7 linked regions of the Rattus norvegicus genome follow. The protein of the gene in region 1 interacts with the protein of each later gene in a pairwise test. Links are inferred from orthologs where the notes say so. Each region holds a gene or a part of one and is shown in the gene's direction. Other genes may lie near its edges.

Region 1 (4,287 bases):
CCAATCTCAGCTGGTATAGAAACTGTTCACCTCATCTAGAGTCCTCACCATTTAATTGAGATAACTAACTTTACCAAAAGGAGCCGAGGATCCCTGGAGAGGCCAGATACAGCTAATGCTGACTACGGGACAATTATCCTAACTCCCTTGCCTCTCAAGTTCTGAGGTCCCACCATGGAGACCCTCTGGTGACAGCAATCAGGAAGTATCATCCAGAAGAAAGACACCACACGGTTCTTCCTGCCTTAAACGGAAAATGTGTTGCCCTCAGCACCCCTCGGATGGAGGAAATAACAAGCCTACCCCACACGACTTCTACCACTGTGATAGTTCTTCACTATCTATTTGACTGGGCTTAGACTCACCTAGGTGACACACCTCTAGAAGAATCTTTGCGGTAGTTCCTGAGATGTTTAACTGAGGAGGAAAGACTGGCTCCCAAAGTGGACGGCACTTCTCTAGAGCTGGGCAAAGAAAACTGAGCTCCAGGTCTCCTTGCTCGCTATTTCTTGACTGAGAAGACAATGTGACCAGCCACTTTACATTCTTACTGAGGCCATACCATTTTAGTGATGACAAACTATATCCTTTCATAGACTCTGCACCCAAATGAATCCCTTGATAAACTGTCACCTCATGACCCTGAGAAATCACCAACCCCGGCCTTCATTGCCTCTCCACATGCCCATCTTCCACCCTGTCCGGGTGTGGACCCATTTGCTCAAGAGCAGATGCTGCCTTTCCTAGGCGTGAGGATACCACATGCCTCACAACACAGTCTCGTGTCCCTACTAAAGACCAACTCTGCAGAGGACCTTGGCTTACAGTGTGAAGGCCACATTAAGACCAGCGTTTTCTTTGTGCCAGGAGGGAGCCACTGAATGTCCAACAGCTCTCAAGCCCTGAGTGTTGAGCATAGGACCTTCTCTCAGTGAGCTCCCTGGTGGAACAGGCTCATTAATGATTCTCTAGGTCATTGGTTTGGTTCATTCCATGATGGAAAGGTGTCTGCAAGGCAAGGCCCAACAGACTACCATGCCAATGTGTGCGCTACACACACATAGTTCCTTCCCCCACATCTGCAAACGACCCATCCATCCATGCTTGCACCAGGCTGCAACCGGGCAGGGACCCTGCAACCCAGAGGAGGGTCCTGGTGTTAGTAGTCCCGTGTCATTCCGCCCTTGGGTGGCAGTGGCTATAGCTCTCTGCATTGCCTAGCAACAATCCCGGGAGCCAAGTCCAGGGCGCAACGATGGTTGACAGTGTAAGCCAAACACCAGGAAGCAAGGAAGAAGGTTAAGTCAAACAAAAGGTCTGTGGTAACGTCAGCAGGGGGAACAGACGACGACCGGCTGCTGAGGGGCGCTCGCCGCCGCGCCCGGCTCTCCAGGCCAGCGCGCCCAGCCCGCCGCCCCGGCGCGTGTGTCCTTATATGGTCAAATGACTCGGCGGGGGTTCTCGAGGGCGGGCGCAGCGCCGGCTGCACTCCGCCCGCTGAGCCGCTGCCGCCACCGGTCCACAGTCCGCTGGGTTCCCCTAGACCCCGGCCTCACCGTGTGTGAGTACTCCTGGCGCCGCCCAGGCCACAGCCCTGCTTGGAACACGAGGATCCCCACCAGACAGCTGCTCTAGGACGCGTGGAGAGACACCAGTGGCCAGCGCACCCGGACCGCGGGGCGGAGACCCAGGAGACCGGAGCAGAGCTGTGCAGACCGCATCAGGGTAGGGTCCCGAAACGGAGAGGACAGATCCTGGCGGGAGGAGAGCCCTATTTGCAGAGGACACCCGGGATGGGGACCCCAAACGGAAAGGACAGATCAGGGAGAGAGGAGAGTGTAGCTGGGCAGAGGATACCCAGGATGATGACCCGAAATGAAGCGGAGGGAGTCAGGAGGGAAAGGGGAGAAGGTGGATCGGAAATGTGGCAGAGGCTGAAGGAAAGGCTTGAGGGGAGATCTCAGGACCCGCGAGTTGATCTACTGGGAGACATCCCTAGGAAGAACGGATGCGGGGCAGAGAGGACCAAAATCATGCGTGTTGGAGGACTTGAGCACAGGAGAGCCGAATTTGGAAATGGTGGGGAAGGGACTGTTGGTGTCCAGAGGGAGGGTGGCGGCCCTGTAAAGGTGGATCACTGCCAGGTGGTGGGAAACGATGAACTGCCCACAGGTCAGCCCCCAGAGGTGAAGTGGAACTGGTTCCTGAAGTCTATGGGAGGGAGGTGACAGGCTGGTCAGCACGTGGAAGGCCAAGCATTTCCCTTGAGAAGAAGTGGGAGTTTGCCTGTGACCACACACCTTGACTAATCCCCCAAATTAAAACCTGAGCCGTAGGGTTAAAAAAGAAAAACAACTTCTTTAGGATGAAAAGAATTCTGATAGATTTCAGTCTTATGGAAAGAAAGTCTTGAAATGCTTTTTCTGATTTAAAGTGAAGAAATGGCCATATTTGCTTGATAATCTTCAGTTGTGTCTCTGGAACTCAACAAAGAACGCATTTTATGAAATATACAGCTGTCTTCGGTAAAGCCAACTTTCTTACACATATTTCGGGAAGTAATTAACTACAATTTGGACTTATAGTTACAAGGTTGCCTTCGAAACACTGCTCTAAATGTGTCTCGTGTTGGGGTGCTACTTTGCTTATGTGTAAATTTCACAGTAATGCAATAGAGAAAGGGTGTTTGTGGGTGTGGCTTGTGGGGGGGATTGTTTTGTTGTTGTTGTTTGAGATAAAGCTTCATTCTGTAGCCAGGAAAGCCTGGAATTTACTGTGTCATCCCAGGTAGCTTCAAACTGGTGCCTATCCTGCCTCAGCCTCCAACGTGTTGCAATTGCAGGAGTAACCTACCACATCCTGCAGCTACAGTGATCTAGAACCTCCCCGTCGAAGCCCCACCACCATAGAAACCAATTTGCATTAAGTTTTAGAATTCCCAACCCAACTAAAGTTTAATAAAAAAAGAAAAACAAAACAAGATTTAAATCATTCTTTCCCTCATTCTTTTTTCAGATTCAGTGCTCTCCTAGTTTTTAACAGAACAGTATGCAGTGTTGGGGACCCCTGTTGTGGCTTCTTTTCCTTCTGCCTCCTTGCAGCCCAGCCTCCCAGGCAGGATAGGGATGGGTATAGAAGTCTTAGCTGGCAGATGTACTTGGAGCAGAGCCAAGTCTATCAGGGCCTCAGTTTCCTCCCAGAGAACTAGATAACTATTGCATAGTATAAGCACCATGTGTAGATTTTAAAGCCTCCTGTTCACAGAGAAAGAAACTTAAATAGAAAAATCAAAATAATTTGATGTCCAAAGTTTCCCAGCCTGTAGAGTGTGGCCCCAAGAACTGCCTCCAGATAGCTTGATATCTGAGTTCTGACCTCTATTCTCTACTACGATGCATTGAGAGAATATTCTGTTGAGGCCCTAGACCACATGTTTTGACCCAAGATTGTTAAACCACTTCAATACTGAGTGATATCTCAACTGCAGACAGAAATGCCCAGCAGGATATTAAAAAAAATAAATGAATAAACAAAAAACAAACCCAGCTAACTAAACAAACACAACTCAGAAGGCCAAGAAGCCTGGATTCTACCCCTGTTCTGCACTGAGAACTGGCTACCTAACCTGACACACCATGTCAAAGTCAATGTATTGACCAAGCCAACTCTTATCAAAGACAGCGTTTACTTAAGGGCTTGCTTACAGTTTTGAAGACTTAGTCTATTGTCATCATGGTAGGGAACATGGTGGCACACAGGAGACCTGGTGCTGGAGAAGTTACTGAAAGTTCTACATTGTGATCCACAGGGAGAGTTTGGCCTGACGTAGGCTTTAAAACCTCAACGCTCCAGCCCCAGAGACACACTTCCTCCAACAAGACCATACCTCCTAATCCCTCTAATCCTTTCAAAGAGTTCTACTCCCTGGTGAACATATTGTCAAACATATTTGCCAATGTCATCCTTCTGATTCAAACCACACCTCGGGACCTGCCCCATCTGTAACCAGCTGTGATCTGGATATGATTTTTTTCCTCCAAGACTCACGTGTTGGAAGTTTAGTTATCCTTGTGTAAGTGTTGGGAGGTAGGGCCTTTGAAAAGTGGAGTCTAGGGGCTAGAGAGATGGTTCAGCTGTTAAGAATAATTACCAAGGGTCTGAGTTGGCTCACAACTCATAATTCCCTGTAACTTCTGCTTCTAGAGATCTTACATCTTCTGGATTCAGTGGACACCTGCACAAGCTCATACAGATACATACCACACATAAGAAATAAGTCTTAAGAGA
Region 2 (3,500 bases), on another chromosome or scaffold:
AGCGCCTCCGATCGATTTCCCTCACCCCCCCTTCTGGTCCCCACTCATCCCTCTTGCCTTTCTGCTTTGCAAATTGTCTTCCTTCTCCATTTCTGTCTTCTTCAACGTTTACTAAGTCTAGATTTTACATGCGAGAGAAAGTGGGTCTGGATTGTTTCTCTCAAGCTGACAATCCCCATTTGACCCATCTTTCTGAAGATGACACGATTTCGCTTACTGTGTATACACCGCGCGTTCCTTATCCACTCGTCTCCGGTTGCTTCCATACCTTGGCTGTTATGAACAGTTTCCTTCAGGCACGTATGTAAGAGAGGCAGCTCGATCATATGTGAGAAAGGCCCGTAGTAATTTTTACAATGCCTCCACTACCTCCTATCCCCTACCAGCCGTGTACAGAGGTCCCCCCTTCCCCACGTCCTCACCAGCATGTGCTGTTTTCTTGCCCGTGAGATGGTACGTGATTGTAGCTTTGAGTGGCAGTCCCCTGACGTCATGGCTCTTCTTCTTCATCCTCTCTCACCCTCCAGGAGCTTCAGAAATATGAGCAGTTCATCTTCGCAGACCACACCAATATGATCCATGTTGAGAACATCTATGAAGAGATTTTGTATCAGATCCTCCTCGATGAGACCCTGAAAGGTGAGGAGGGAGCACTCCGAAACGGGGTGCACTCTGGAAATAGGACTCAGGAAGGCCGTAAGATCAGAATGCGGAAGAGTTGAAACTGAGATTGGTCTGCAGGGGTGACAACAAGGAGAGGGCAGATAGGAAGGAAGGACCAACCTCGCCTCATTCACGAGGTGACTGCGCCATGGGCCGTGTCAATCCTCTTTCAACGCAAGCATGAATTCTGTAGGACAAGAACATAAGCTTTATCATCAAAGAGGAAAGAAACCAAGGCTTAGTGCGGCTGAACTGAGGGTCTGGCAGGTAGATCTGTCCTTGCTACTCTGTGTTAGAACACCGAAAGACTTTCAGGGCTGGACGGCAGTAGGGCCCAACCATTGCTCTCTCAGCACATTCCTCCCCTCCAGTCAGATGGACAGAGACCCAGGGCAATGGCATAGGACTCTGAGAGCCTCTTTAGGACTCTGGCATCTGCTGCAGTGTGGAGCGGGGCCTTGTCTGTGATCACAGTGGGACTAGTTATGCATTGGAAATACTCTGCAGGAGGCTGCCAGCCATCTACTGGAGTGAGACACATTTAGTAGCCATTATTAAAATGCCTCCAGTGAGAAAACTGGTCCAGTCCAAGCCTCAGGTCACTGTAGCTGGCCAGGAATCCCAGGCGATGAGGAGGGTAAAGGGGTTGGCATGGTGTGTGTGCATAGGCCATGGACAGCCTACTGCACACATGTCTTAGTTCAGTTGGAAGAAGATTCTTTTGCACGGCCTCCCCTCTGCCTGAAACTTGCTATAAGATGGTGCCTGTTAGAGCAGGGCACTAGTGCTGACTACCCCTAGTGGTTCTGCCTCTGCTGTAAGACCCACTTCAAGTTGGCATTGTTGGACACTGTAGCCCTGCACAGAGAGGTCTGTGGCTGAACCGTCATGCACTGTTACCCATGCTGTTACTTTCTTTGTCCTTCCAAATGTTCATCTTGAACACTCCAGGCCAAACAAGCTCTCTCAGCTGGATGTTTAGCCCTGAATACCCACTACGCAATCGGGACCACACTGCCAGACAAAACAAGGAAGGGGAAGGCCTGCCCCTGCCTCATTAGAGTTCCAGAGCAGCCACTTGTCACAGCAGCTGGTGACACTGATGAATATGATACCCCTGGAGACTTTGAGTTCTTTACAAGCAGAGGTTTTATTATTCTCCACATTGGGGCTGGTCTCAGAATAGATGCCTAGCAAGTGTTTCTTGATTGAAAATTTCGAATGAACGCTACCAAGACTCAGAGTCTGGAAGGTTTGCAGGTTTTGGTCATCAGGAAGGGCGGCCTGTGAGAGGGTGGTCGTGAGATGGTTCTAGAAACTGAGAGTTTGGGGAGCCAGAGGACAGGAATGATTGGCTCCCGGGTAACGTTGGAAAATCCAGGTTTGCCGGGCAGAGCGCTAATGTGGTGTTTTGTTTTCTGCTCCCTCTCAGTGATAACGGAAGCAGCTATCTTGAAGAAACACAACTTATTTGAAGACAACATGGCCTTACCCAGTGAAAGTGTGTCCAGTCTGACAGACCTCAAAACCTCCATGGGGTCAAACCAGGCCAGCCCAGCCAGAGGAGCATCTGCCATTCTCCCAGGAGCTCCAGGCGATGAGGCTCCAGGCAGCGAAGTGTTCCAGGGGCCTGAGGAAAAGCAGCAGCAGCCTGGGGTCCCTGGCTCGCTGGCCAGAGAAGAAAGTGCTTCCATCTCTGGGTCCAGCCCTCCTTCAGGTGAGGATGGGCAGGTGTCTGTGTCCGGTGTGGATAACTCTGCCGGGAACCCTCTCAGTGCAGATAATTCAGCAGGACCTCTCAGCTCACACTTGTCAGAGGCAGAAGCTGGGGAGCCCCCTAAAGATGAGGAAACAGCCCACAAAAGGCCAGAGTCTAGCGCCGTGCCAGGGTCCTTGAGGGAACTGAAGGAGTTGTTGACTGTGACGGTGTTCGTCGAGTCTGCCCCAGAGATTGGAAATGATACACTAAACGGGACACCTGTTCCCCAAGAAGATAAAAAAGAAGAAGAAGAGGAGGAGGAAAGCAAGATCCACCCAGAAGCCAGCGGCCCAGCTGCCATCCAGCAGGACAGCTGTGAAGAAAGTGAAGTCAGAGAGAGGGAGGCCCATCCTATGCCTTTGGAAGCTGAGGCTCCTGGGGTGAACTTGGGGACACTGCCAGAGGGTAGAGGGCCTACCTCTCAGTCTACCGGTGAGGGACTCACTGAGAACACCAGCTGTCTAGGCCCCATAGAGGAGCCATCTGAGGCTCAAGGGCCCACTGAGGAGGTGCTCCTAGCCACAGTTTCCACACAGGACAGCACCGAGGCAGGAGGTGAGGCTGTGCATTCTGTGACAGTCACACCTCAAGAAGATGCCACGTTAAGTTCTAACCCCATCTGTCCCGTGGAGAATAATGAGGGGCCCCAGGTTTCTGAGGATCAGGAAGTGCTGGGAGGGAATGATAGCCCAGCCCTTGCTATGGATACAGAGCAAATCAACGATGCCCATGTGTATGAGTGCCACTGGGAGGTAGAAGATGCCCCGAGCGCCGACATCCTAGATGTTCACGATTGTGATGTGGGCTCCCCAGGGGAGTGGTAGAATCAGTTTGCCGGTCTTTTTTCTTTTAAAACTGTCAGTCAAGGGGTATTAGTTATGGGTATCCTTAGGGGGTTGCATGTGACTCGCTATAAAAATTATGAAATGTTTCTTTAATTTGAAAGATGAAGCCAGAGTGCACAGACGGTGGGAGCAGTGAGCAGGCTTTGGGGCGCTGAAGTGCTCCCCATGAATGATCTATCACTTTGGCATTTTAATAGGAATGGTAAGAGAACTGAAGCATTGGGGCAAAGTCA
Region 3 (4,011 bases), on another chromosome or scaffold:
CTCCCACAGAGTCATAATTTGGCCCTGGATACTATTGCAGTAGGTTTGCATAACATCATGGTTAGAAGGAACCCTTATACATACAAGTACAGGTTCCCGTATTAGTTATCAACAGGTGGGTTAAGGTGGCAGCTCTCTAGGTATTTTGTGTCCTTGTCACCCCAAATTCTACTAGAGAAAAGCCACAACTAATAGCCACAATGCTGAAGCTTGAAGGGGTTTGAGTGTACAAAGGATTATAAGAGTCACACTGTTCTCTGACCAGGTTAAAGCAATTCTTGCTGTAGCATTCACTCTCAAATATCGTCATCCTGTTTTAACAGGAAAAACCTCAGCATCACTGAGGATACGTTAAACCAATAATACAGTTGCTTCCTTTGCATTCTTAAAACATTGTAAAATGGATTTAGACTTAAAACAATTTTGATGACCAGTGTTTATTGATTCATAGTGTTTATTTATGGGACACCAGACATGTATTCATCATGTCTGTAACTCCCGTTCTTACATAACTCAGTATCTGGCAAACACTGGGTGCATAATAAATGTTAAATTAATATGTGAATCACTTCTTGGTTAGACACGATATTCTGTTTCTGGACTAATTTTGTCTTTGCTAATGTCCTGCCTTGGGAGTGTCATCTCTGACCTAGACCGCAATCTCCTGAGGCATATTAGGGAGGGTGGTAGCTGTTCTTCTGAATGCTCCCATTTCTATCAACCAAACACTTTCCCTTTCAGGGCTCTGTTCTTTTTTGCTTTTCATCCTAAGATCTAGAACGGACTCCAGATCTCCTGGAAGCAGCAAAGTCTCCACTCGTCCAGGCCTTCCCAACCCGAGAGCACGGACAGACACACAGACACAGACACAGACACGCATGTACGCGCGCGCATACACACACACATACACACACACACACACACAGAGAGAGAGAGAGAGAGAGAGAGAGAGAGAGAGAGAGAGAGAGAGAGAGAGAGCGCTCGCCTCCAGCTCCCCAGCCTTCTGTCACCTCGCACCGCCCACAACCACACCCTCCCTGTGGGCGAGATCACCTGTCCCTCCTCTGCCACCGCCTCCTCGGGTACCCTTTCGCCCCCCCTCCTGCTCCCCTTCCTCCGCCACCTCCCCCAAGCCCTCCCCTTCCCCGCCTCCTCCCACCCCTTGGTGTATATAGTAAAGGCCAGGCGCTGCACGCAGACACACACTCTCCCGGACACAGGCACACACGCGCACAGACACAGTCGGCAGTGGCGGCCAGCGACAGCGGCTGGGTGACAGCAAAGACAGAGGCTCCCATCGCTGTGCACCCCCTTCAGGCGCCCAGCGGCGAGGCCAGACCAAGAGAGTTCCCACACCAACGTCCACCCCGTGGCTTCCTGGAGGCGGCAGCCCGGATCCCGAGGTAGCGGCTGCGGCACCCCTGTGCTGGTCGGGGTCACCCCCGCCCTCCCCAGGCGGACCTGCCACCAGGACGAAGGGGGCGCGCCGGACTGGGCGCGCCTGGCGGGGCCCGGCGCCCGGGGAGGGGCCTGCCTGTTCCCGGGGGCAGGACGGCGCCCAGAGGCCGGGGCCAGCGGGGAGGGCCGGGCGGGGGCGGGGACGCGGGTCGAGGCAACCACTTGTGCTGCTCGCCCAGGCCAGGCTCCTGCTGGCCGGCGCTACGCACTGGCCAGCCCGGCCGGGGACAGTCGGGAAGGCGGCGCCAGCCGGTGGGGCGGGGGCCCCGAAGTGGGTTTTGGGCCGCCACCCGCTCTGGCACTGGGCTTAGAGGGCGGCACGAAGTGCGCTCCGTGCCCGGGCACCGCACCGGGCTTGTCTCGGTATCTGCCATTCTGCCCCAGCCAGGAAAACCAGGCGCCTTCCAGGCCCTTCGAAAGATGGATTCTGTTGACGTATCTGGCGGCCCTGGCGAGCTGGGTGGAAAGTTGGTTTTTGCCAGATCGTGCTGGGATCTTCTTTGTGCCGCTCAGCAAGTCCCGCATCCCGCTGGAGCAGGGTGAGTGCCTGTCGGCGCCCTGGGAGCCCTGGTGCCCCCACAGTGCCCAGACCCGGGGTGGCCACACCAGCCCCGGCTTTCTGCCATGTTAGGCACCAAGCAGCGTTCTGGCTGCATTTTTTTTTGTATGCGTGCATTTCAGTGGCGCCTTTTGCTGCGAAGGGAGTTATTGCCTTCCTGCGCGTTGGCTTTTTTTTTTTCCTCGGGGTTGGGACTTGCTCTGTGTGTTTGTTGTTTGCCATTTAAACCCCTACTATTGTTCAGGATAAGCTCCGCCTGGGTGGGGAAATGGCATCCCACCACAGTTGTTGGCGAGGGGTCGAAATGTTGCCAAACAGCTGCTGCTTTGTGTTTCCCTATCCGAAGTCCGCGGAGTGGGTTTGGGGCACGATGGATGGGTGGAGAAACAGATAGGGCATGAAGGAAGACCGTGGCTTTGCGAAGAGTGACTTGTTACCCACCCCAAGGTATTCAGTCAGCCTCTCTTTTGACTGCCAAACTTTTATGAATATTTCTCTTTTGGAAGAGAGAAACCTAATGAATTTAGCCGTTTTTTAAAAGGCGGCAATCCAGCTTTAACAATGGTTTGGGAACTTAATCAATGAGAAAGGGAGGGGGAAGAGGAGAAGGCGCTGGGGGATGTGGCTGCTTCTTACAGAGTCAGGTAGAGAAGTGGGCCGGGCTGGGCAGGGCACAGCGCCTGGGTGGCCACATTCCTAAAACTATCAGTTGTTCTTACCTGTATCCACTGATACCATCCACCCTGTGCCCTCACCTCTGAGCTGCCCAGACCTGGCAATGGGCTTGAGAGGCGGCTTGCAGCAGCGAGAGGGCCAGCCTCCCTCATCTGGCGTTTTTTAAGGATGTGTAAATATTTTGCTGAGGATAAGTGACATCAACAGAATGATATTCCGCAGAGCCCGGGTGTGCGGCGATGATAAATAGATACAGCCAAACAAAGTTTTGATAACCGCATATTCTCATGGCTCACTCTGTTTCGTTTGGTCTTTGTTTTTGTTGGTTTAGCATTATCTCGCATCCTCTGGTGTGATCCCTTTATTTATCCAATTCTTGGAAGCGTCTGCTTTGAACACAGAGAAAAGCAGCCGGCAGAATGAAAACAATTCTTAGCCTCTCCTGCATCAGGCAGATTTTTCTTTGCTTTCCCAGGATCTCTTTCCCACCGTTTTCTAGCTGTTTTCCCTTCTCTCCTTTAGAGTCATCACAATTGTGTGCTGGTAGAGCAAGAGACTTCAGCTAACTTTGAAAACACGTCGTGGCAGAGCCTTTGTTACAGTGGTATACCAGGGGACAGTAGAGAGGCTTGTGGGGAGGGTGCACCTCCCTAGAGAGTAGCGCCATGCACCCATACCCTGAGTGTCTTCGTATTTTCTCCTAGAAGGGAAACGTGGGGTGCTGTGCTACTTTCAGAAGCAAGGATGAGTCCAAAGACACAGAATTATAAGCCATTAGCCTGATAGCATCCCAATTTCTCTGGTCCTTAGGAGCTCAGGGAAGCTATATACCAGTTTTAGAAAGCCCCGTTCCCTCCCCACAGACACTGTATTCTGCACATGGCTATTTCCTTCTCAGCCTGACAGATGTCCACTGGGTGCATGCCCAAGGTGGCCATAGCACTTGGAGCCAAGTCACACCGAAACTTGTGGGGCAGGGAGCTGCTGACCGTTTTGGCACCAACTCTGGGTCATTCAGCCTATCCAAGGGGGCTCCTTTATTATTCAAAGGATCCAAGACCACATGCAGGGAGGTTTGGCCCAGGAAAACCTGTTCATCCCAGGAGCAAATGAGAAAACTGTTTCCCAGGTGGTGTCCAGTGCTTGCTTGAGAGCAGTTTGGGTGGGCGTTTAGGCAAGGAGCATAAAGCCAACTACAACATCTTTTACCTAGAAAACAGGCAAAAGAAAAGAGCAGGGAAAAAAAGAAAAGAACGAACAATAACAAAACAAACAGAAAAAAAACCAAAAAAGCAAAGTAAGTTTGGAGGCATGTGAGC
Region 4 (3,980 bases), on another chromosome or scaffold:
TAAATTAATACATTGAAACAAAAATAATACATTTAAGTTTGAGTTTTTCATGACAAAATCCCAGAAGAGTTAAAGTATGGGCCACGGAACTTACATGTGACCAAATAAAAATCAGCTGTAGCGAGACAAATGTAGAGTGGGTATTATAACTTTATCATTAAATGTAACATGACTGAGCAAGTTGTACATATAGTGTCTTCATTTCCTAAATGTTGATAATGAGAAAAAAAAGCAACTTCAAGTTGTTTTGCAAAAAGATGACAAGATAATGATTATTATGTAGTTAGTGGCTGTTACGCATAGCATTAAAAAGATAAAAGTTTGTATCTGTAATTACTATTATGACTATCATAACTGAAGAAAAAGGTAACTGATTGCTAAGTAAATACATTTACATGCCTATTTTCAATAAAAGAACAGAAAGAAAGGAGAAAGAAAGAGAGAGAGAGAGAGAGAGAAAGAAAGAGAGAGAGAGAGAAATGTACACAAAAAGAGACAGAGAGAGACACACACAGAGAGAAATACCTTTTTTGGTGTTTGTAGACCTCTGAGGCCTTATTATTTAAGCCAAGAATTTGATTTATTCTAAGCCCGTTTTACAAACTTTTCTCTTTTTACAGATTCATAGTTTTATCTTTTATACAAACCTTAAAGATTCCTTTTCTGACTTGTTCTAATACTATGTAAAACGCAGTCCCCTGTGTACTGAATATTAGTTGAATGTATTTAAATTTTCCCAAATCTGGTGAATGTGAGCAATCAAAAAGTATGCTACTCATGACCAGTCTATCTTAGCATTATGGAGTTCTTAGTGCTCAGGTGGAGATGAAATCTTGGCCTCTCTAAAGCTTTGTGAATTTTGATGTCTCTATATCATTGCCACATAGGTGAGGTTAAAGCCCCCCACTAGGCTGGGGAGAGTGCTGAGGACTGTGTACTAGGCTGGAGAGACGTCCAGTTATTGGACAATTTCCTTTCCTGGACAAGTTCCTTCACCAGCTTCTGAATTGCTGCCTTGTTTAATGTCCCCCAGAATTTCTTGGGAAAGAAAATAGAAAGAAACCATTTTCTAATCATGTGGACTTCTTGGAATTAAGGGACTTTTGAATATCTTACGAACCACAAATTAGCATGTCATTAAGTATGGTATATATACAGTCACAGAGTCTGATAGACCATCATCCTCTGAGCTTCATCTTCTCTCTTGTCCTCCGCTAAAGGTAAGAACTTCAGACGTAAGTTTGAAATATTATTTTCATTATTTATTTCAAACCCATACTAGACTATGTTATAGAAAGAAGAGATTTACTTAAAATATAGCTTTCTGAAAATAGATATTTTAAAAAACTGTGAGATTATTTTCAAGGACAGGCTTTTGAAAGTCAGAAATGCCTAGAAAAATTTGGTACAAATTATAATGACCCTGGCTTCATAAAATTGGGTAAATGTAGTAAAAATATATAAAGCCAGTGACTACTATAAAGGAGAGACTAAGAATTATCTCCTACACAAGCTATCTTATTTGATTTGATGTATTTTACTAGTGTAATGCACTCAAATTATATCATGGAAAATAGATACTTATGGCATAGCTGTTGGAAGAAGCAAACTGCATGTTTATAAGCAAGAAAATTGTAATCATAAAACTTTTCCAGGGGCTTGGAATTCTTGATCTAGTTCATAGTATTACAAGAAATATTAGAAACCATGTAAAAAATAGAAACAAAGTCTTCTATTTTCTTTTTTATTGGGTATTTTATTTATTTACATTGCAAATGTTATCCCCTTTCCTGGTTTCCCCTCCAGGACCCCCCTATTCCATTCCTTCCCAGCCTGATTCTATGAGAGTGTTCCCCCACACAACTACCCACCCCTTTCCTCCTCCCCTCCTTGGCATTCCCCTACACTAGGGCATAAAGCCTTCTCAGGACCAAGGGCCTCTTCTCCCATTGATGCCAGTCAAAGCCATCCTCTGCTATATATGCAGCTGGAGTCATGGGTCCCTCCATGTGTACTCTTTGATTGGTGGTTTAGTTCCTGGGAGCTCTGGGGGGTCTGGTTGGTTGATATTGTTGTTCTTCCTATGGGGTTGTAAACCCCTTCAGCTCCTTCAGTCTTTATCAGAACTCACTTAGAACTAGTGATCATTGAAGTAAGATGAGTTGAAAGAACTGTAGCTTAGAACATACCACATAACAGTGAAGTTCTGGTTTAAAATTGGTGTATAAAATGCCAAGGTTTAAATACAAGAACTGCAGTGGTATTCTCCCCACATTTAAAATACACAAAGACACAACTTTCTTTTAATCTAGGATGATTGGATTATGTGGAAACCCATGGAGGAAGCTTCAGACAAAGTGTTGATAATGAATAATACAACATACATCAGAAAAACAAACAAAAAACCAAACCCACTTCTTTTCACTAATGGGATAGTTTTCCACCTTCAAGTATTGGAAAGAATGCTTTATAAATATATTTAAATTTTTATTTTTTCATGCTGTGATAATTCACAAGCAACAAAACAGTTAATACACTTTGTCTACTAATTCATTCTAGATGTGAATGTGAGACTCCATAGAACTGAGATATTAATATTTTGTTCATTGTCTGGCCACCTGTAAGTGCTCAGGAGTTTAAAATGAATGACTTGTGGAATGTTTGGCTAGTTATGCATTCTCCATAGCTTTTGTAAGGCATCCATGCAACTGTTAGCAAAGGAAAGTTAAAAAAGAAAAGAATGGCAGGAGCTGTGAACTGACGAACGCTGATGATGGCCGCAGCTGACGTCTGAGTGTAGGGCTTAGTAATAGGAGTATTTAAGAACCAGAGCAGATTCTGATTTGTTGCTGACTAATCTGTTTCTAATTCTTCTCTTCATTCACAGGACTTGACAGCCATGAAGGTCTTCATCCTTGCCTGCCTTGTGGCACTTGCTCTTGCAAGGGAGGTGTGTAGAGAAGCTTCCTAAGTAATTAAGATGTAGAGATGAGTCTGCTCACTTATACACAATAACAGCAGTGATAGCTTTTAATGTGCAATCAATGGAGAGTTTGGGATAGCTTTATTTAGTCACCGCTTGTTTGAGAATCACCCAGGGTCTCAAAGTTCCTGTAGGCTCTCCAAGCTGAAATAAGTGCTTACTGCACTATTGTGTGACAAATTCTCTAACAACAACAAAAGCAGAAATAAGAATTGAAGCAAGGCGATAGAAATACATCAAATAAACATGACTTCACAAAAGTAGACTCACATGTGCAGCTTGAGTATCTCAGTCTGATGATAAAGTGCATGCACCTCTTTAGATGAGCAGATCAAGTCTTACTGTGCCTGTCCAAAGAGATATTTAGAGGAGGAAATACAATCCAGAATTGTGGCCATGCTCTGAGTAGAGTCATAGGCATAATAAGAAAGTGTTTAGTGGAAAGCAAAGTAACTTTTGCCAGCCGTCAAAGTTTATGTACACCTTTATGTAATATAATAATGTACCTATAAAAACTTATTAAAATATCAAAGAGATTGTAAATATAAGTTTTCAAGATTATGAAAGCCATATATCAATTTTTTTATTTCTGAAAGAGATAAAAAGACATGCAAATCAAGCAGAAAGTATGTTTAATAACAGGGTTGATATAGTAACATAATGTTTTTAATTGTTTGCTTTTACAGAAGGATGCATTCACTGTGTCCTCTGAGGTAAGAGTTTTTATTGAGACAAATTTCCAACTCTAAGATTACTACATTTTTAATGATCTTGAAGTCCTAATTGGATCTATAATTTAACATATATATGTATGTATTTTTTTGTTTACAGACTGGTAGTATTTCCAGTGAGGTAAGGCAATTGTCTCTCAGAGGCAGCAAATTGCCATCTTTCTGTTGAGTTATATTGTGTTGCTCACACCCATATGCTTCTTAAGTAAATACCCTTTACATGATATTAGGAGGAGAAAAATATTTTCTCCTCATGAAGGATAGCG
Region 5 (3,809 bases), on another chromosome or scaffold:
CGCATTGCGGGTTCAATTTCTAGGATGCTAAGCCATGGGGGTTCTGATGCTAAAACAATTTCTAGGATGCTAAACCATGGGGTTCTGATGCTAAAACAATTTCTAGGATGCTAAACCCTGGGGGTTCTGATGCTAAAACAATTTCTAGGATGCTAAACCCTAGGGGTTCTGATGCTAAAACAATTTCTAGGATGCTAAACCCTGGGGGTTCTGATGCTAAAACAGGAGTCTCATTTCATAGTGTTCCTGAGCATCTCCAGGTCCAAGAGGAGACCGTGAGTTCATATTGCCAAGATATCTTGGAGATACATTTACTAAAAAGTAAAAATAAATTTAATTTTAACACTTGATTTGTGGGCAAAGGTGTAAGAGTTCTTTGAAATTTTAAAGACAAAGGACAGACCTTAGGACCCTAACCCTAACCCTAACCCGGTCCCAGCAGCCGGTGCTGCTGTTAACCTTATTCCTAGAATCGTTTTTTTCCTGAGTGTATCTTGAGATTGTCTAGTCAGAAGAGGAAGCTCTGAGGACTGAGAGGAACCCAACACTGAGGACCTCTGAGGCTGCTCCTAGTTTCATGACTGTCTAGCGCTTGCCATAAATTCCCCAAATGCTTCAGACTTGGCGCACAAAGGGAAAGCTGACTAGGAAGAGCCCTTACTCACCTGTGTGCGAGTGTCAGGGCTACCTGCTCTTCTGTGTGAAGTTGGTGTTCTTTTCATGGCCTTCCTTTCTTGCTCTCTCTCTCCATCTTCTTTCCGTTTGGTCCTTGTTTAGACATCTGCCTCTTCTCTGGTCAACATGCTGGACTCGCTTCCCCTGCTGACTTTCTCTGCTTCTCTGATAGATAACCAGACATGTTTCGATTCACATAACAGTGCCTTTCCTTAGACAACGGCCACTGGTGTGTTCTTCCAAGTCTTAAGTCAACCATCAGATTTCCATCCCCTTACAGCTTAGGACTCGGTTTAACTCCTTCCTTCCCTTTTTCTTTCTCCTCCCTCCTCTTCCTCGTCTCAGACTTAATTTGTGAGTGTCTTGCCTCCATCTGTGTGCATGGTGCCTGCAGACGTCAGGAGCGGACATCATGTCCCCTGGAACTGGAGCTAAAGCCACCACGTGCTTGCTGAGAACCGAACCCTGGTCCTCCACAAGAGCAGCCATTGCTATTAACTCAGAGCTTTCTCACTGTTCTCTCTAGTCATGGACTTACACCCCCACTTAGGCCAGTGTTCTCCCGCTACCCATTTCAGCAGTCATGTTACTAAACTACAGAAGACATTACAATGTATTTCCTTTTAGTTTGAAGAGTCATTTCTCAGTCAGTTATGGTGTCTCATGCCTGTAATTGCTGCACTCAGGAGGCTGAGGCAGGAGGATTGCTAAGTGTAAGGCCAGCCTGTGCCATACAGTGAGTTCCAGCCAAGGCTACAATGTCTCAAAACAGCTACTGTGTTTATTTTGTTTAGCTATTTTTTCCCCTGTATTGTCCAACTAAACATATCTCCACAGCCAACTCCCAAGACCTTTGGACAGAAAGATTTAGTTACAGCACACAACAATTCCCAAAGCTTTCCCAGCTTGGAAGGCAAATGAAAGACCATTCTCGCCAGAGTTGGCGATCCTGCCCTGTCTTGTCTTGAGGTGGGGGAGGCACATTGTAGTGCTAGGTAACCGGCCAGTCCTGAAGCCCTGTCTTCTGTTCGGTCCATGTCTATCCTGTTCACTTCTGAGAAGTTTTTGATAATATCATCATACTATAACTGATCACTCGTGTGTATATGACATTTATTTCAGTGCTAGGAATTGAATTACCCCTACGCTACATCGCTGGTCCTACACTGGCCCTGTTCTTAACGTCTTTGATTTGGGTTAGTGGTTTGCCCAGGATTGTGTGCTCTCCTATGTGCTCAGTTCATGGGCCTGTGTGCTCCATTAGCAGCTACTTCGTCTCCTCCTGTAGTTCCATTGCTGTGATGTGCATGGGGAGTTGCCTGCCAGTCCTCTTCACATGATTCGGGGCTTCTGTCTGAAGTCCATCTTTGGAGGCTTTCGGCAGATGATCTGCCCACCGTAGGAGCAAATGCCTGTTGCACGGAGTGTGTGCTGCTTCCCGGGAGTGTTAACCTACCTAACCCGCCGTCCAAACTATACTTCAGGCACCTTGAAAGGCCGCTGACGAGTACTGTAGACCTGTGTGCTAGACACTGTACCAGGGGTTTTCTACGTCCACATACCTGGTTCAGGTCCCCTGTGAGAAGATTACCAGTGAGCATTTTACATGTGAGGAAACTAAGGCCCACAGGTGTTCAATGACAGAATTCACACATTTTGGCAAGGGGTGCTTTAATGGAAGTAAGATAACCTATAGACTAAAATAACCCATGAGAAGACATGGAGCTCCACAAGGCATTTGATTACAGCCCCTTAAGAATGCTTGTGGAGAAAGCTGCTTTGCTCTAAACAAAGGAAAGGGCTTCAAGACCCTTCAGAGTGCAGAGGGCAAGACTGGAAGGAATTTCTAAAAAGTCATGAAGAACACCAGGTGTGTCATAATGTGTCCATTCGGTTACTGACACCTCCTGTGCCCAGACTGCTCAGTGTTCAGTGAGCCTTGTCAACAGCTGAAGTATGCAGACTTAGGGAATCGTGGGAAATGCTTGGAAGTAGGGCAGGTCCATAACAATAGGCCAATAACACCCCTAGAAAGATGTGGGGACTGTCAGAAGAGCCCTGCTCAGGTCCAGGCAGGGAGATATGCTTTGGGGAGAGTTGAGGGACCATGGTGATAGAGGGATAATGTAGGGAACTTGTGGGAAAAGTTTGTGCATGCTTGCTCAAGATTCAGCTAATCTAGGCGTGACCAATCTCAGCTCTTGGGAAGCTGAGGCAGCAGGATTGAGAGTTCGAGACCATCCTGGGTTAAAGCGCTGAGGAGACGGATATGTCCTGGGACTGAGCAGGACAATGCTTTACCAAAGATCTCTAAGGCTGGGTTTGCAGCACTCCAACTAGAGTACTTTCTCACTGCAGGCCCAGATGGAGTTCATGCATGGACCATCAGCAAAGCCGTGACGGCTCCTCAGGCTGCAGGAAAAATTCATACAGATTTTGGAAAGGGATTCATTATGGCGGAAGTAATGAAAGACGAAGATCTTAAAGAGGAGAGTTCTGAGAACGCAGCTAAGGCTGCTGGGAAGTACAAACAACCAGGCAGAGCTTACGTTGTTGAAGACGGAGATATTATCTTCTTCAAATTTAACTCGCCACAGCAACTGAAAAGGAAATAAAATTCAGTTTTTAACTTTAGCATATGTATGGTTTGGGGTGTTGGCTTTGTTTCGTTTGTGAACTGAAGATACAATGTTGGGATGGGACGCAGATAAATTATTACTGACGTTGAAGTAGTAGAAACCAGTCTGGTTTCCTTTTGAAAGAGTCTGGGGTGGGAGCAGTTAGGATTAGCAGTTAGGAAGGCTCGCTGTCCTTTCAGAAACCCGTGTGAGGCGGCTCACCACTGCTCGTGAGTCCAGCTCCAAGGGATCTACACATATCTCCTTCCCTTACACACGTATGAATAAAGTTAATAAAAATAATCCTTTGCAAGAAGGGAGGAAAGAGAGTTGACAAGATTTGATGCCGTATTTATTCTTAGATGTAAAGCCGGGATGCTGAGGGTGATTTATTTATTTATTATATATAAGTACACTGTAGCTGTCCTCAGACACACCAGAAGAGGGCATCGGATCTCTTTACAGATGGTTGTGAGCCACCATGTGGTTGCTGGGAATTGAACTCATGACCTCTGG
Region 6 (3,500 bases), on another chromosome or scaffold:
TGAGAGCAACTGTGAAAATGCTTGTGGCTCCTCTCCTAGGAATCCAAGTGGAGACTGCTAAAAGGTAGTTCCTCCAACCTCCATGTCTATCATAGGTGCTGATTAATATCACTTTCTTGTCTTATCAGTGCCTGACTTAGGGCTTGATGTATAACGGGGCCTCAGTCAACGGTAGTAAGACGAATGATGAATATATGTTTTTCTTCCTGATTCCCCCCAATTTTCAAAAGTTTTTTTTGTTTTATATGTATGCATATTTTGCCTGTGTATGTTTGTGTACTGCAAGTGTGTGCATGGTATCTCTGAGGACCAGAAGAGGGTGTCAGATCCCCTGGAACTGGACGTAAGTATTGTTGTGAGCCAATGTGTGGGTGCTGGGAACAAAACCCAGTCTTCTGCAGGAGCAACAAGTGTTTTGTTTATTTCTTTCTATCTATCTATCTATCTATCTATCTATCTATCTATCTATCTATCTATCTATGTATACCGTAGCTGTCTTTAGACACCAGAAGAGGTCATCGAATCCCATTACGTGGTTGTGAGTCACCATGTGGTTGCTGGGATTTGAACTCAGGACCTCTGGAAGAACAGTCAGGGCTCTTAACCGCTGAGCCATCTCTCCAGCTCTCTATTTTTATTTATTTATGTCTTTTGAGACAGTGTTTTCTCTGTGTAACCCTGGCTGCCCTGGAACTTGCTTTGTAGAGCAGGCGAGCCTCGAACCCACAGAGATCCGTCTGCCTCAGCTTGCAGAGTGCTGGGATTAAACACATGCACCACCACATATGGCCTACAAGTGCTCTTGGCTATTAAGTTGTCTCTACAATCCCTCGTCCCTCCTGTTAAAAGATCTATTTTTAATTTTTTACTTATGGGTTTGTGTGTGTGTAACTTGTGCTCAAATAAAATTATGTGCAAAGAGGCCACAAGAAGGTGTTGAATCTTCTGGACCTGACATTAGAGACAGTTATAACCACCTGGGGTGGGTGCTGGGAATGGAACCCAGGTCCTCTGCAAAAACAGCAGGTCCTGACTGCTGAACTTCCAGTGGCACACTCCTCTGACCCCCACTTGACACGGGCTCTGATACGGGATGACAGCTGCTCAGGGACAGTGGGCTTGTGGGAACCTTTCTCCTCACCCTACACAGTCTGGCACAGTGCCCCACGGATGCCTGTCAGTAATACTGTCCGACAGTTGTGGGCTTCACCCCTCAGGATGGGACATGGAAGGATGTGGGAGAGAGGCCTTGAGGCTCGTCCTGCTGCCTGCCTACTTGAACCTTTTCCTGAAGAGAGAGAGGATCTCTGTAGCCGCCTGGGTATCAGTTACTTCATTTCACTTTCCAGTCACTCCTGGCTTTTGGGGTCCAGTCCTGGGGGACCCAGGCAGCCTCTGTTCCCAGCACAGTCCCCCTCTGGGGAAGACATTTTGGCTGTAATCATGGAAAATTGTGCTGCCAAGAAAGTTGTAGCTGAGAAAAAGGCTGAGGAAGAAGCCTGGGTAGGGGTGGCGGGAGAGGAGAAGAAAAAGTTGTGGGTGGAGGGGGGAAGGTCGGACGGGAAAGGCGATTCTGGATGTGGGGCAGAACTCAGGTGAGGTTAGAGGCTATGAGAAACCTTCTCTACTTCCACACCAGCGGGCATGACTGAGTGTGGGGATCGCAGAGCCACCAGTGGGTACGGTCTTTGCTGGACACGTGGCAGAGGGGAAGCAGACCCATTTCTAGCCTCTTGCCTGGCCTCTGAAGCTGTCCCTGAACCACTGTGGTGCCAGTCTGTGTGCCCGTTGCTCTGGTTCCAGGCATTCTTGCCATTCTGGCTGGGTTTCAACTGGACCAGGGTTAGCGAGGAGGGCAGAGTCTGAGGCTGGGGCCAAGTAGGGGGTGGGGGAGTTTGTTGTGAACAGGTGCTGGCGGGAGTCGTTCTCTTAGGCTGGCAATGCTGGCAGGCTACTCCGACTGGCATGTGTGTTCCTATGTGTGTACCCACCCTTTCTGTTGGTTCTTTGTAGAGAGTAAGGACGCATGTGACAAGAAGCTCTGTTAACCCGTTCTTGCCAGAATTTGAGAAAAACATCTTTTATTCTTTTCTCTTTAGTACTGAACGCTCTGCCCGGCCCCGAGGAGTTGGGGCCAGGGAAGCTCCAGGGTAATTGGAACACTCAGGACTGAGTCTAGCCTTTGTCCTACCCTACAGGCTGCTGGTGGGTGCCCCCCAGGCCCTGGCTCTTCCCGGACAGCAGGCAAATCGCACGGGAGGCCTCTTTGCTTGTCCCCTGAGCCTAGAGGAGACAGACTGCTACAGAGTGGACATCGACAGGGGAGGTGTGGCCTTGGGAGGGTGGAGTTGGGGCGGCATGTGAAGAGGGCAGGACTTTGTCTCCTGTTCTGTCCCCTGATTCCCAATGTATTGCCTCAGCTAATGTGCAGAAGGAAAGCAAGGAGAACCAGTGGCTGGGAGTCAGCGTGCGGAGCCAGGGAGCCGGGGGCAAGGTTGTTGTAAGTACTACTCCCTGCAGAAGTGATGATGATGTGTGTGTACACTGCACTAACTGGGGACATGGCACAACTGATTCCCACAACCATGGGGTGTAGACAAAAGCGCAAGACATGGTCCCGTTCCTTATCCATTTAGAAATATTCATCTGAGATTTGTATCTACTCACCTACGCCTTTGTCACAGCACTGCGTTTTCTTTCTTTTCTTTCTTTTTTTTTTTTTTAATTAACTTGAGTATTTCTTATATACATTTCAAGTGTTATTCCCTTTCCTGGTTTCCGGGCAAACATCCCCCTCCCCCCTCCCCTTCCTTATGGGTGTTCCCCTCCCAACCCTCCCCCCCATTGCCGCCCTCCCCCCATAGTCTAGTTCACTGGGGGTTCAGTCTTAGCAGGACCCAGGGCTTCCCCTTCCACTGGTGCTCTTACTAGGATATTCATTGCTACCTATGGGGTCAGAGTCCAGGGTCAGTCCATGTATAGTATTTAGGTAGCACTGCGTTTTCTTATCGTCAGCCACTATGCTAGTTTCTGAGAGAGGACTTGTGAATACAGTGGAGGTCTGGGTCCTGCCGAGCAGCTATGGAGAATCTTTCTGGCCTGGGACTCAAAGATATCCTTCTGCCTCTGCTTCCTGAGTGCTGTGATTTAAAGTTGTGTGGCACCATGCCTTTTAGTCATGACCTCTCTCTCTCTCTGTCTGTCTGTCTAACTAACATTCATAGAAACGCTATTATCAATGGAAGGCACCATGAGCCTGAATATAACTAAATGGTCTAGCCTCTAGCCCACAACTCCAAAGGAAGAGTAGAAAAAGGGGCTTCTGCAGGCATGGTGGCTGAGTCATGCTTCTGAAATTGGTAGTACTCAGAGAAGAGGCACAGGGCATGTCCTTCTCAGAGGTGATGGCTTACAAAGATCTAGGCAGAGGCTGGGATGTGACTCGGTAAAGTGCTTGCTCTGCGAGCACCTGAGTTGGGTTCCTAGAATCCGCACAGAAA
Region 7 (3,500 bases), on another chromosome or scaffold:
ATTCCAGTTCTAAGGAATCTGACACCACTTTCTGGCCTCCAAGAGTAGTATCAGGCACACAAGTGATATACCAACATACATGAAGACAAAACATCCAAACATACGAACTAAAATAAGATAAAAAATTACCCAGCTGAGCATTTTACTACCTCTTTGCCCACTGTCAGGCAGTCATTCTGCCCCTAAAAATGACTGTAAGGTGGCAGCATCACTTACCGTTAACTAGAGAACACCAGTTTCCTGCAGCCTACACTGCTGTTCTTCCAGGATAGAGGTGTTGCTGAAGTACCGGCTAAAAGACATCAAGTCTAAAGCAGGCTGGGCTTCGCTGTGTGACCACTACAGAACACATTTTGTTCTGATGGCTGAAGGGATTCAGGCGCATTGTGCTTTCTAGAGGTAATCCTTCTGTGCTCTGGTGAGCTGGTATTTTATTGACTGTATTTCTGATTATCCAGGTCATTTGGTCAGTTTTGGAGATTAACATTTCTTGCTTTTATCTTATCAAAGTCCTGTTTGTATTGTCGGTTCATTTGAACGTTTCAAAGGTCACTGCGTTAGGAGGATTCAGAGTAGTCTCTCAGAGTCCCCTCTAGAAGTGAGTAGGATTCTGTGTGTTCTTCCTTCTTACAGAAGTCAAAAAAATGGGTTCGGTCCCCAGCTCCGAAAAAAAAAATGGAGGCTGACTTACTGGCATTCTTCCATAGAAGTCCTCACCTTTGCTTTTTCTGGCAATCAGGTTGGTAGGAGGAGGCAGGCATGACCGTACCCAAAAGGAGTGACGGGATTACGGCCTGCAGAGCTTCTAACCCAGTCCTGGAAGACGGACAGTGTGTGTCTTGAGAACCATCTTTAAGCTTTATCCCTGACACTGTGTGGTCTCTGAGCTAGGCCACCAGTTAGTACTGCAGCCCTACTGCCGTCACCTCTGTCCTTAGGACTCAGTAAATACGGGTGAAGAGCTGTGGGTGGGTCCCTAGGGACATTCTGGCCAACATTTAGAGGTCAATACCTTATTTCATGTTTCTTCCCTGTGGGTTGGATTCATGGCTCTTATGTCAGATTGCAAACTCTAGTTGAGCTGGCCACCAGAAAACCTCTTTCCACTGGTAGATAAGGTTGGCACTGTGCCAGAGCCTACTGTCTATCCCTCTGTGTTGTTTGCCTCAGTCATAGGTATCATGTCTGCTCTGGTGTGCTGTCTCAAAATGTGTCCCAGGGCTGCCACATTTGTTCTTGACCTGTCTTCACAATTGTTCCCACAGAACAGAGTGAAAAAAGTGGAGATGGATAAACAACACTTTGGCCGTTATTAGTGAATATTCTCCAACTTTCTCTACAGAAAGAAGCTTTACAGTTATTTTTTTTTCTTTTTTTTTTAGAGCTGGGGCCTAGGGACCCACCCACATATGTAATTTAACCAGCACTTTGCCAAGCCTGTAATATGTTCTCATTTTCACTTGGATTCCAGAGCATCATTTAGGAAAGCCACAGAAAGCCTACTGCAGCAGACTTGCTCAGGATTCATGACAGGCCAGATACTTCAGAACTAGCAGCTGACTGCTTTTTTTAACTTAAGGTGTTACACATTGGCAGTTAAAATTAACAATAAGAGGAGTTCATTTTGGGGTTGGGGATTTAGATCAGTGGTAGAGCGCTTGCTAGCAAGGCCCTGGGTTCGGTCCCCAGCTCCGAAAAAAAGAAAAAAAAAAAGAGGAGTTCATTTTGCCTTTCAAAAAGAATGTCATTTAAAGCCTCCTTTTGTGACTGTTGCCCTCATCCCAAAACATAATACGTATGGTTTTGTAGCCATGGATACTGTCATTTAAGAACAAATGTGGCTGCAAATGTCTGAAAGAGCAGCAAACACTTAGATAGTGCATTTGGGGTAGAATGCTCAGTTGGTAGGCAGTTCAATCTCCAGCACCGTGTGTACCAGGAGTAGTGGTGCAGACCTGTGATCCCAGCATTTGGGAGGGGGGAAGCAAAACAATCAGGAGTTCAGGGTCATCCTTAGCTTTGTAAAGTTTAGCCAGTTTACTAAGTTTTACTGAGTCTATGCCAGGTATTGTGGCACACACACCTTTAATTACATTATTCAGGATATGGAAGCAGGCAAATCTCCATTAGTTGGAGGCAAGCCTGATTGTTACCGTAGTGAGACCCTATCTCAAAAGAAAGAAAAGATACATGAGACCTTGCCTTTTTTTTTTTTTTTTTAAGTCTGGTATGTGGTGGTGCAGGCCTTTAATCTCAGCACTTGGGAGGGAGAGGCAAGTGGAACTCTGAGTTTGAAGACAGCCAGGGCTACTCAGAGAAACCCTATCTTGAAAAACAAAATTGTATTTCATTAATCTGGTTACATTCCTGACCCTAGGTTGATGGACAGATTTTGTAATCTGATTCAAATAGTTGACTAAATCAAATGTGGTGGTTCACACCTGGAATTCCAGCACTCAAGCAACAGAGATAGGAAGAGGGCCTGGTCTGCATGGTGAGTGACAGGCCAGAGAGAGCCTATATTGAAAGCCTGTCCATAGAGAGAGAATGAGAGTACACAAACAGCTGTTTCCTTGTGTGACAGTGTTGCCATGGTTTATAATGCTTGCAGGTCTCCCTGGCCTTCATGCAGACAATCTACAGGCTTTGCCTGCAGTGAGCAAGTTTCAGGTGTGTGTGGTTGGGTATGGAAAGCCGGTGAATGAGAATGATATGGTGACTTCAATGGAGGAAAGTTCTGACCTGTTGTGGGTCTGTTTGTTTTAAGAAAATGTACTTGAGGCTCAAGAGTTAGAGGTGAATGGTTGGTAAGGTTTAGGTCTCTTTTAATTTTCAGCTAAAACAAATGGCATTAAAGCACTCCCCTAGTGAGATGTCAGGAATGTGTTGGCATGGACAGTATGGATGAAACTCTGTTTGTTTCCTACTAGCGCATGGATCAAAGTGGAGCAGCTGAAGCCTTACCATGCTCACAAGGAGGAGATGATCAAGATCAACAAGGGCAAGCGGTTCCAGCAAGCTGTGGATGCTGTCGAGGAGTTCCTCAGGAGAGCCAAGGGCAAAGACCAGGTGAGAGAGAGAGGGGCTGCAGTGGTCCCTCCAACATCAGGCCAGTGGTTTGCATGGTTCTGAGAAGATGGTTTGTGTCAGACACTCCTTTTCCGTGAAATGCCTAGAAGAGGACACCTGTGTCCAGAACTCTGCCCGTGGCTCCCTTTTTCTAAGGCATGTTGTTTTGGGAGGAGTCGCTCACCTTCACAGCACAGGCAAAGAGCTTAGGAGTACAGCCACCTCTCACCTTTGGGGCTGTAGACAAGCGACATGTTTTTCTTTTTTTAAGCTGTCTTTCCAGCACAAAGAGAGGTGAGCAAGGATCCTGTTTCTCAGGGTGCTATGAAGACAATTCACAGAACTGCTGAGAGAACTGTGTGGCCCATGTTGATGGCAGTGGTGATAGTGGCTGTTGTAGTGGTTATCATTATTATTGTTGAACTTTCAGA

The links.
Region 2: the proteins of Fhl2 (region 1) and Niban1 interact in binary tests that used the Homo sapiens proteins (3 or more experiments, as listed by UniProt). The two-hybrid records come from large-scale screens. The link is inferred for Rattus norvegicus from reciprocal best matches to the Homo sapiens genes FHL2 and NIBAN1.
Region 3: the proteins of Fhl2 (region 1) and Rai2 interact in binary tests that used the Homo sapiens proteins (3 or more experiments, as listed by UniProt). The two-hybrid records come from large-scale screens. The link is inferred for Rattus norvegicus from reciprocal best matches to the Homo sapiens genes FHL2 and RAI2.
Region 4: the proteins of Fhl2 (region 1) and Csn2 interact in binary tests that used the Homo sapiens proteins (3 or more experiments, as listed by UniProt). The two-hybrid records come from large-scale screens. The link is inferred for Rattus norvegicus from reciprocal best matches to the Homo sapiens genes FHL2 and CSN2.
Region 5: the proteins of Fhl2 (region 1) and Nrf1 interact in binary tests that used the Homo sapiens proteins (3 or more experiments, as listed by UniProt). The two-hybrid records come from large-scale screens. The link is inferred for Rattus norvegicus from reciprocal best matches to the Homo sapiens genes FHL2 and NRF1.
Region 6: the proteins of Fhl2 (region 1) and Itga7 interact in a two-hybrid assay, tested with the Homo sapiens proteins (2 studies listed by BioGRID and IntAct). The link is inferred for Rattus norvegicus from reciprocal best matches to the Homo sapiens genes FHL2 and ITGA7.
Region 7: the proteins of Fhl2 (region 1) and Glyr1 interact in binary tests that used the Homo sapiens proteins (3 or more experiments, as listed by UniProt). The two-hybrid records come from large-scale screens. The link is inferred for Rattus norvegicus from reciprocal best matches to the Homo sapiens genes FHL2 and GLYR1.

Annotation. Positions count from the first base shown.
Region 1 is NC_086027.1:52,920,527-52,924,813, reverse strand, and holds the start of Fhl2 (four and a half LIM domains protein 2), read left to right. Parts: upstream 1-1,487; 5' UTR 1,488-1,725; intron 1,726-4,287. UniProt on the Homo sapiens protein: May function as a molecular transmitter linking various signaling pathways to transcriptional regulation. Negatively regulates the transcriptional repressor E4F1 and may function in cell growth.
Region 2 is NC_086031.1:66,370,719-66,374,218, forward strand, and holds part of Niban1 (protein Niban 1), read left to right. Parts: intron 1-527; coding exon 528-639; intron 640-2,095; coding exon 2,096-3,246; 3' UTR 3,247-3,500. UniProt on the Homo sapiens protein: Regulates phosphorylation of a number of proteins involved in translation regulation including EIF2A, EIF4EBP1 and RPS6KB1. May be involved in the endoplasmic reticulum stress response.
Region 3 is NC_086039.1:36,640,097-36,644,107, reverse strand, and holds the start of Rai2 (retinoic acid-induced protein 2), read left to right. Parts: upstream 1-1,211; 5' UTR 1,212-1,403; intron 1,404-1,602; exon of another isoform or gene 1,603-1,997; intron 1,998-4,011.
Region 4 is NC_086032.1:20,600,644-20,604,623, forward strand, and holds the start of Csn2 (beta-casein precursor), read left to right. Parts: upstream 1-1,180; 5' UTR 1,181-1,220; intron 1,221-2,887; 5' UTR 2,888-2,899; coding exon 2,900-2,950; intron 2,951-3,669; coding exon 3,670-3,696; intron 3,697-3,814; coding exon 3,815-3,835; intron 3,836-3,980. UniProt on the Homo sapiens protein: Important role in determination of the surface properties of the casein micelles.
Region 5 is NC_086022.1:59,726,426-59,730,234, forward strand, and holds the end of Nrf1 (nuclear respiratory factor 1), read left to right. Parts: exon of another isoform or gene 1-3,033; coding exon 3,034-3,290; 3' UTR 3,291-3,309; downstream 3,310-3,809. UniProt on the Homo sapiens protein: Transcription factor that activates the expression of the EIF2S1 (EIF2-alpha) gene. Links the transcriptional modulation of key metabolic genes to cellular growth and development.
Region 6 is NC_086025.1:1,947,615-1,951,114, forward strand, and holds part of Itga7 (integrin alpha-7 precursor), read left to right. Parts: intron 1-2,198; coding exon 2,199-2,326; intron 2,327-2,420; coding exon 2,421-2,500; intron 2,501-3,500. UniProt on the Homo sapiens protein: Integrin alpha-7/beta-1 is the primary laminin receptor on skeletal myoblasts and adult myofibers.
Region 7 is NC_086028.1:11,048,624-11,052,123, forward strand, and holds part of Glyr1 (cytokine-like nuclear factor N-PAC), read left to right. Parts: intron 1-2,930; coding exon 2,931-3,069; intron 3,070-3,499; coding exon 3,500-3,500. UniProt on the Homo sapiens protein: Cytokine-like nuclear factor with chromatin gene reader activity involved in chromatin modification and regulation of gene expression. Acts as a nucleosome-destabilizing factor that is recruited to genes during transcriptional activation.